Bombyx mori: one gene and its partner. The protein of the gene in region 1 purifies or fractionates together with the protein of each later gene. This does not show direct contact. Links are inferred from orthologs where the notes say so. Each region holds a gene or a part of one and is shown on either strand. Other genes may lie near its edges. The genes, in order: RNA polymerase-associated protein CTR9 homolog and transcription elongation factor B polypeptide 3.

Region 1 (4,390 bases):
AGTATCTTGTTCTTGGGAAACAGACTACTTATACAAATAGTTTATTGCAAACAGCAAACAACCCACCTTTTTGAAAAAAAAATGATTGGCCAAATGATTTAGAACCATAGGATTTTTTGGGTCAATAGCATAGGCTTTAGACAACATAATAACTGCTATTTTGTTTGATTCACTCTCCTGCAGATTTAATTTTAAAATGGAAAGTCCCACTAAAGCACCTACACATTGTGGATCTAATTGTAAAGCTCTTTCAAAGGCCATCCTGCAATAAATATATTTATTATTTCTTCTTCTCAGTCTTTTGCACTCTTGACAGAGTGGTCGTGGTCATCATTTGGGGTGGTGGTGCGCTTTACAAGAGGTCACCATTTCTACAATGCTTTAAAACTATATATATATATATATATATATATGTGTGTGTACTTCTTTTTTTTTGTATGCAATGTAGTACCCCTAGTTTTGTTCATACAATATAATAGAGATTTCAATCTCATGTCTTAAGATATGGGCTCCAGTAAACACTACAACAGATATACTGTATGACTTTTGATCAAAATTACACTTCTTTTTCCTCTTATACCATATATGTCAGGTTGGGACGGCATGACCGCTTATCATGCGGCATTGGGCGTTGATATGTCATGACACAACATAAGTTTACGACATACCGCCTGCTTGGGTTATATGTCCAAATACTCATTGCAATATGCCATAGGGAGGGACTTTTTCTGTTTTTCACTTTGGTATTTCTTTAACTTTTAATGGAAATGATTGGATTTGAAACTTTTGTTTAAAGCTTATTCACAGTTTTCTATTGATATGCAAATATGTCTAAAAGCCCAAGCTGGTGAATTAACATATTTGACATGAATGGGATCACAAGTTACACATAAACAAATACTTCGAAATCTCAAGTGCAAAGGATTAAGTTACTCTGCTATTCAAACTGAAACAGTTTCTTAATAGCAGTAATGGACCAGGACCTCCAGTATCCAAAATCAGAATTTGCAGACAAGCCATAATTATTACGATATAGATACCTGGCTTTCTCCTGATTATTCAGCTTCATAAAACAATGTCCCATACCCAGTCTCAAAGCGGCTGGGCTGTCTGGATTTGTTCTAAGTGCTTTCTTATAAAAAGCAAGTGCCCCTCTGTAATCTTTACGATTGAAAGCTATGCAAGCTTTACCGAGCAATGAAGGCACATTATTTGGGGATTGATTTAGGACAAAGTTGAACTGAGCATCAGCCTGTTCCATTTTGTCACCTTCCAATAAGCAGAAATATGCTCTACCAAGAAGATGGTTCTGGAACATTTCACATTATTAGAAAATAAAGCGACAATTAGCAATGATTAACTGATGCATTATTTTTCACTTGCCTGATCATACATAATAATTTTATCCGCCATAGTGTACAATAATGTTGCCTTTGTAAATAGTTCTTTTTTCTTATCTTTTGACTTCTCTTTGTTAGCTTCTTGCACATAGTATGCGGCCAACATGTCGAGAGCCCGCATCTGATCTCTTTCGAAATCCCGATAGTCAATGTTGGCATCTGTACGTGATGCTTCCAGGATCTTGAGGAAGTCATCGATTTTCTTTTGTTTGTAATATGCGAGCTAAACATAAAAAGTTGAAAACTTTTAACTGGAGCATAAAGTCAGTCACACTTAAGATGCAGAGCAACTGTTTCTTATTATATAACAGGTTAATAATAAATATGAATGTCCCGAAACTCAAATTGTACAAATTCCTTTTTATTATTTATTTTATTAATTTCAACCACAACAAACTACATTAGATCATATCAAATTCCACCTGATGTATGTATACAAATACATATCGAAGAAATTATATTGTGTAATAAAATTATTAATATGATAACCATAATTTTTATGAATTTGCATATTTATTCATATATTCATAGGGTGCATTGTCTACCCATAAGATACCACAAAGCTGCCTATTCCCATGACGTAGTCATACTTTCAAATTTTTTGTGACATTTACACTGCTGACACACATGTCAGCATGTTGGCAGTGTTTGCTTCATAATATCTAACACCCCCATTACGATAATTGTAGGCAATAAAAATAATGAAAATGTGTACTCCGAATTATGTATCATAAGTGTGAAATTATTTTATGATTGTATATTTAACATATTTTGATGTAAGTCTAAAAGAACGAAGAAAATTGCAGTTAATGTTTATATTTAAAACTGACATTATAAGTTTAAGGTAAAGTAATTTGTGAAAGTTCTTTGTAAACATATTTACTCAACTAATTGTTAAATGATCATTTACAGTTGAAAAACCTTTTTTAATTAAAGATTTTCTTGCATTTTATATTAGTTCATGTATTTGCAACGTTGTGATTGGTATAAAGTTTTAATTTTTTTCGTCTGCTATGATTATTTTCCCATAATAGAATAATATCGAGGTTAGGTTAACTCACTGCAACATTAATCCAAACATTGAGTTGTGAGCGTTCTTGTTGTAAAATACTGAGCACCTCATCGCCGGAAGGTAATTGTTCTGGATCCAGGTCAATCACCTAAAGAAATCAAATATTAATATAAAAATGTTACACGAACACTTTTTAAACGCCAAACTGAATTAGAGTTTTTATTTCACCTCGTCGGTGCTCATTAAAGGTATTTCCAGCGACATCTTGATTTTTTTATTTTTAATTACTTCATTATACAAAATTCACTAGTTTGCTAACTAAAATTTACCAAAACGTATATTTATCGCGTTTTTTGTGTATGTACAACATACTAAAAATTTTTTTTTTTTTTTGGAGTTTGTGGCCTGGTTTCTAGACCTTTAGGCCAACATATTACAACATAATCCTGTTGAGCACAGATTAGTATAATCATAGAACATATATCATTTTACTCTAAAGATATATATCACTCATCTAGCTCACTAGCCCATTTAGATCACTAGCTCAGTGATCCAATTCAATTGATTGGTCTGTCAATTAATTTATTTTTTCATCTTGATCATTTAGCTCAGTATACATATATCACTCACTTTAAATCTCTCTCACTTACACAAACCTGTCTTTAACTTTTATATTAGCCTAAGCTAGTTCTCGGAAGATCTTTTTTTTCAGTTTTATTAGTTTGTACATTAGACATTGTTCACGCATCTGCAATGCTGAGGATCTCGATCCGTGAAATTATCGTATCTGTATTTTGTCATTAGTATTATTATATTGGTATTATTGTATAAATTTTCGCGACCAATTATAATCGAGCTGTGTGTGACGCTATCACGCTAGGAACGTGTGCGGTTGCTATTGGATAAAAATATTGTTCCCTGACCCCATCATCATATAAAACTGTAAAATTGCTAATTCAGAATACACATGCCAACTGGTATCTCAAAAAATAAACATCTTTTAATTTAACAGAATACAGTCCTCAAGTCCAAAAGAAAATCAAAAGTCAAGTACAGCATATCTATTGGCGCTACACACATTATACATATTAAATTGATTTTCTTTTGATTAACTTTTTTAATTTTTTTTTTATATAGCATCGCATCCGTCGTAATATTAACTTCTCTAATTAATTTTTTTTTTTTTCTCTTATGTTTTAATGTCTCGTAGCGATCTGTTTTTCAGTTAACAATGAGCTATTCCTCTGGCTGAATTTATTCTTAATAGATTTATAAACAGAATCAGATATCCAGTGACACCTTCATCTTTTATTGTTAGATTTAATTTCTGTTGTGTAAGGTAGGTATACTGTGCCTCCTTAATCTAGTAAACTGCACAGCTCCTGTGCCTCCTAGGTCCGACGCCAATTTATTGACGTGTGTCGATAACCTGGCTTGATATTTTTTGCTGTAAGCTACTATTTCCTCTTTCACTGTGGGAATATTTAGGTCCATTTGTATGATCTTGTTGCTTATGTAATGCGGTATTCTTAGCATTGTTCTGAAAGTTTTATTTTGAAACCTTTCCAGGATCTCGACGTTGCTATTGCTGGCAGTTCCCCAAAGCTGTATGCCATATGTCCATATTGGCTTTAAGATGGTTTTGTAAATTAAAATTTTACTTGTTGGCGAAAGCTGGGATTTCCCTCCAGTCAACCAGTACATATTTCTTAGCCTTATGTCTAATTGTTTTCGCTTAGACCAGATGTGCTTTTGCCATGTCAGTCTTCGATCCAGATGTATGCCAAGATATTTTGCATCTTCCGCTTGCGGTATGTTTTCGTTATATAAGCTTACAGGTGGACAGGTTTGTTTCCTGAGGCTGAATGTAACGTGGGATGATTTGCTTTGGTTTACTTTAACGCGCCACATATTAAACCATTTCTGAAGGTCATCTAGATGTGATTGTAAGTTTTCAGAAGCTGTTGTAGGGTCGTCA
Region 2 (4,349 bases), on another chromosome or scaffold:
GTATACCTGCAGCTGGGCAATCGTGCGTTTCGGTCTGAAAGGCTGGGGAAATTCATTATATTTATCTTATTGATTTTTCGATTTTATTTCCCTAAGTGGCTCTCACGGTTGCGGTAACAATTCAACACCCGGTGTTAGTTCTACAAAAATGTGAAAATTAATGATAGCGTAGTTTTTATCAAAATACAAATAAAACGAGTTAGAAGAAAACAGACTTCAACTTATTTTATCTATATTACATTATATACCACAACATCCTGTTCTCTGATACACCAACCTCAAATTATTGGTTGGTCAAAAGTTGTAAGGTTGACTAAAAACTACATTAAATTGGAGTTTCATATTACATATAACTTCTCTAAGCATCCACTTGAGCAAATTAAATAAATTAAGTCCTTCATATACCTAATCTATTCTACACGACCAACACCAATGTTAATTTAAGCAAAATGAATTTAATTATGCAAATGGCATGGACGATTTTGTTTAAACAGTATTTTTGATGACACAAATCTACACAGAGTGAAAGTAGCTTTATTATATTTTATGGTCTAGGAAAGCCGATTTTATTATGAAATCAAGCTATATTATTATATTACTCTATTATATAAAGTAACCTACACTTGTAATTTTTCCTCCCTAATCCTATTTAACAATCTGATGTATTTAGTTTGATTCTGAAACTACTTCCACTTAAGACATGGAGTTATAAAAACTTTAGCATTTTAAAAATCATGTATGTGTAACCTAACAACTATGCAATGTTATGTTCTTTCACTAGAAACAACCGGATTTTCAAAAAATTAAAACTATGACGTTTACCATTGTTTTATATTCCATTAACCTTGCAATTTTATAAAATATCAATAATATTTACCTCACTGCTATGGCTTTTCCTCTTGCTGCCACCATGGTGGCCATTCATATCTCTGTGAACTTGTTGATTTGTTTTAGGCGCAGTTGAAATGCTTTCCCGATGTTCAGATTGGTTTTTAGTGTATTGACTATTATCAGGTTCTCTATCTTTATCATTTCTCTGCCCATTGTGAGTGTCTGCCAAATTAGATCATAGCAAGTTTTCAAGTAGTAATGTAACAAGGCTACAGGAAAAATCATTTCAAGCTATAAGCAAATATAATAATCTTCCAGTATCTTACTTTTATGAAATTAACTGATAGTATTAGAAGCTATTAATGATAAAAAAAAAATTTTTAGCACCATCACAAAAAGTGGTAATTCATGACAAGTTTTAAAGAATAACTTACTTTCTGTATTTGACTCCCCCTCATTATCGCTTGATTCAGCTGCTACCATTGCTTTCCACTTGTAAACAAGAGCCCTGGCTGCAGGACCAACATCTCCTGGTTCTTTTCGTAATGCATTGACAGTCCGGCCTATACCTGTTTCTTGTAAGTGTTGAACTGTCACATCTAAGTGACTCAGTTTGTCTATGCATTTTAAAATCTAAAAAATAAAGATTTTAAGGTATTATAATATACTATTATAAGGTATACAGGTACAATATCTGGTTTATCACAAGTAATTTATTAGAGGTACTAGGAATTTAATAAGACAATACAAAGTTGTCTGTCCCTCTACAAACACTATTTGTTTATGACAAAGATGTAACCATTTTCCTTTATTGAGTAGATTCTACTTTTCTTCTTTTTCTTTCTTTTCTATTAACCCTATTTTGGACTGGATGGAATGCTTTAAGGCAGCAGCCTTGTCAACAGCGTAAGTCACTATGGGCTAATGACCATTGTTTTGTTTTTTAGCACATAATTACCATGTCTAATTTTAACAGATGCCATAGTTGTTAGCTTTTAACTTCATGCTGTGATAATTGTCATCTCTACTAACAGATTAAAAGCATTGAGTGACAAAAAATAAATTTTGTGCTGTTACAGAAAGTCTCACAAAAACAATGTCTTCGTTGATGCAATAACATTCATTACAATAAATTTGACGAAAAACAGTTGACCACAAATCAGTGTCTAAATTTTGGATCATACAATGAAAACTATTTTCCAAAAATTATATTGCCAAAGTTAGCTAACTTAATTTGAATATTTATTCTTCAGGTTGTTATTCTTATATTTTTATTTCATTACTACAAAACAATACATTTAATTGAAGAATAAATACTTGATTTCAACCGTTCCACTAGGATATTCAAGCTTAATAACTAACGTAAAGGGTTTACTTCTGGTGAATGTTTGTGTTTCATTCAGTCAATTAGATTAATAACTTTTTCGTGATGTTTCACATTGAAATACGATAAGTTATTAATCATTTGTTGCACATTGCCTTTTTATTGTTGATTAATAAAAGTTCAGTAGGGTTATTGTATATTTTTGAGGTCGAGTGCTGATGAATTATATTATATCTGATATATGATTTGCGTTCTGATAGTTATTATAATTATACTTGTATCTTATCTTTATGATTTGTAACATTTATAGTTTATTTAACGTTTTCCTTGTAAAAACTTTAAAGTTTGTCGGAGGACTTTCGTCAGTTTTTTTTTTACTGTATTCAGTATTGATAGCGTTAAAAGTTTCGTTGTAAAACCGTATGTCACCTCACTGCATAATTTGGGTTCAGTAAATATTGAATATATTTCCAATCGACTTCCTATTGCTGTGAAATTCATTAGTCTTCAATATTTGAAAACTTCACTTACTTTCGGTTCGTCGTGAGAATTCTTTTCCAGACTATGTTGGTAGTATTTAACTAATTCTAAAACAGACGCCATTCCAAATGTATATTACAACAAAAGGGTTGATTTTTTTCATCAGACAATGATAGCCACTGCCAGCTGGTAAACGGGCACCATTTTTGTCACTTTTTCATGCGTCAATGACGTTGACTGGTTTTTACCTTTTAGACGGCTTTGGTTTAGGTACTAGTTTTTTTTTGATAATTTTATGACTTGATAACGAGCCCTTTCGCCAAAGCCATTTTTCTTCTTATTTTCTGTTACAATATGAAAAATGATATGAAACGAAATGAGATGAAATTGAATAATTTGAGATGAGATGAATTGAATAAGATGACATTGGATGAATTAAGGTAACAGTAAAATAGTGGTTATTTTCTGAGTTTTTTCATAGGCCTTTTTGAAAGAACCCGAGAAGCTACGACTAGCGGCTTTGTTTCATCGATCACTGGCTCGATGTATCGCTACATTCGAATGCATCGGACCTCTTATCCTTTAGACCACGGCGACTTTTTCCGCGTTTGTGCGCTTTTGCGGATGCTAAACAGTTATTAAACTATATAGCTATTAGACATTTAAACCTGAAAAAGCACTAATTGAACAAAATAAAGCAATTCACATAATTTCGCTCCTCGCATTCGTAGCCAAAAGCTTTTTGGCTTGCTAGTGTAATCTACCAAAGACATTTTTAAATGTTTATTTTCTCTTGAATAGGTACAGAGTACGTTGCTCATACGACAGATCTTTTAAATTGTTTTATTGGCAAAAAGTGTAAAGAAATAGCATATGTTTAAACAGATTTTAAAAAGTGTTTGCTCTTTGACCGCAATGTACCGTTAAATATTTATTTATTTATCGTTTAGGCCACAGACGTTTACTGCTGGACATAGGCCTTCCCCAGGCCTCGCCAGAACGACAGGTCGTTGGTTCCCTTTTTGTGAGGTCTACCTACGCTACGTGTAATATTGCAGCAACGTACAGCTAACATAAAATTAAAGACGTTAAAATTGGCATAAACTTTGGCAAAGCAAGACTATGTTCCGAAAATATTCTAAGCAATTTGAAGATGGAGTTATTCTTCTATGTAATTTGAATGAATTCAAAGTAATTTGTCTAGATTTTAGTCTAAATACGTCAATATTTAGTTCGAGACAAAATCACCTTCGTTTTAAAGATTTTAGGGCCAGGTAACGAGACCTTTAAGCCAAGCCTTATATTATTTTCTTCTTAGATTAAATTGGTAATATGAAAAATGATATGGAACGAATAGAAGTTAAAGTTGTTTTATTTGAGACTGTAATTAATTGGGATAAAATGAAATGAAACAAAATGAGATGGGATGCAATATAGTCTCAGAAAAAATGTGGTTAATTATTGAGCCTTTTTCAATGGACTTTTTGGAAGAATCCGAGAAGCTACGTAAATAAAACAATCCACACAACTTCGCTCTTCGTATTCCCGCTAAAGTGTCCTAAAGAAGTATATACGGTAGTTAAAATACATGCATAATACACTTATTTATTGTGAAAAAAGAACCTACGAATAGATACATATGGGTAATTGAAATCTGTAATGTAAGTTTAATATTAAATTTAGAATCAAGTATTGCAGATCCGAATCAAACCGG

What was found.
Region 2: the proteins of RNA polymerase-associated protein CTR9 homolog (region 1) and transcription elongation factor B polypeptide 3 purify together in Homo sapiens (affinity purification with mass spectrometry; 4 studies listed by BioGRID and IntAct, with this or other methods). This does not show direct contact. The link is inferred for Bombyx mori from reciprocal best matches to the Homo sapiens genes CTR9 and ELOA.

What each region holds. Positions count from the first base shown.
Region 1 is NC_085129.1:3,976,540-3,980,929, reverse strand, and holds the start of RNA polymerase-associated protein CTR9 homolog, read right to left. Parts: upstream 2,885-4,390; 5' UTR 2,677-2,884; coding exon 2,641-2,676; intron 2,561-2,640; coding exon 2,462-2,560; intron 1,624-2,461; coding exon 1,384-1,623; intron 1,310-1,383; coding exon 1,041-1,309; intron 263-1,040; coding exon 67-262; intron 1-66. UniProt on the Homo sapiens protein: Component of the PAF1 complex (PAF1C) which has multiple functions during transcription by RNA polymerase II and is implicated in regulation of development and maintenance of embryonic stem cell pluripotency.
Region 2 is NC_085112.1:7,690,770-7,695,118, reverse strand, and holds the start of transcription elongation factor B polypeptide 3, read right to left. Parts: upstream 3,104-4,349; 5' UTR 2,759-3,103; coding exon 2,687-2,758; intron 1,465-2,686; coding exon 1,266-1,464; intron 1,054-1,265; coding exon 878-1,053; intron 1-877. UniProt on the Homo sapiens protein: SIII, also known as elongin, is a general transcription elongation factor that increases the RNA polymerase II transcription elongation past template-encoded arresting sites.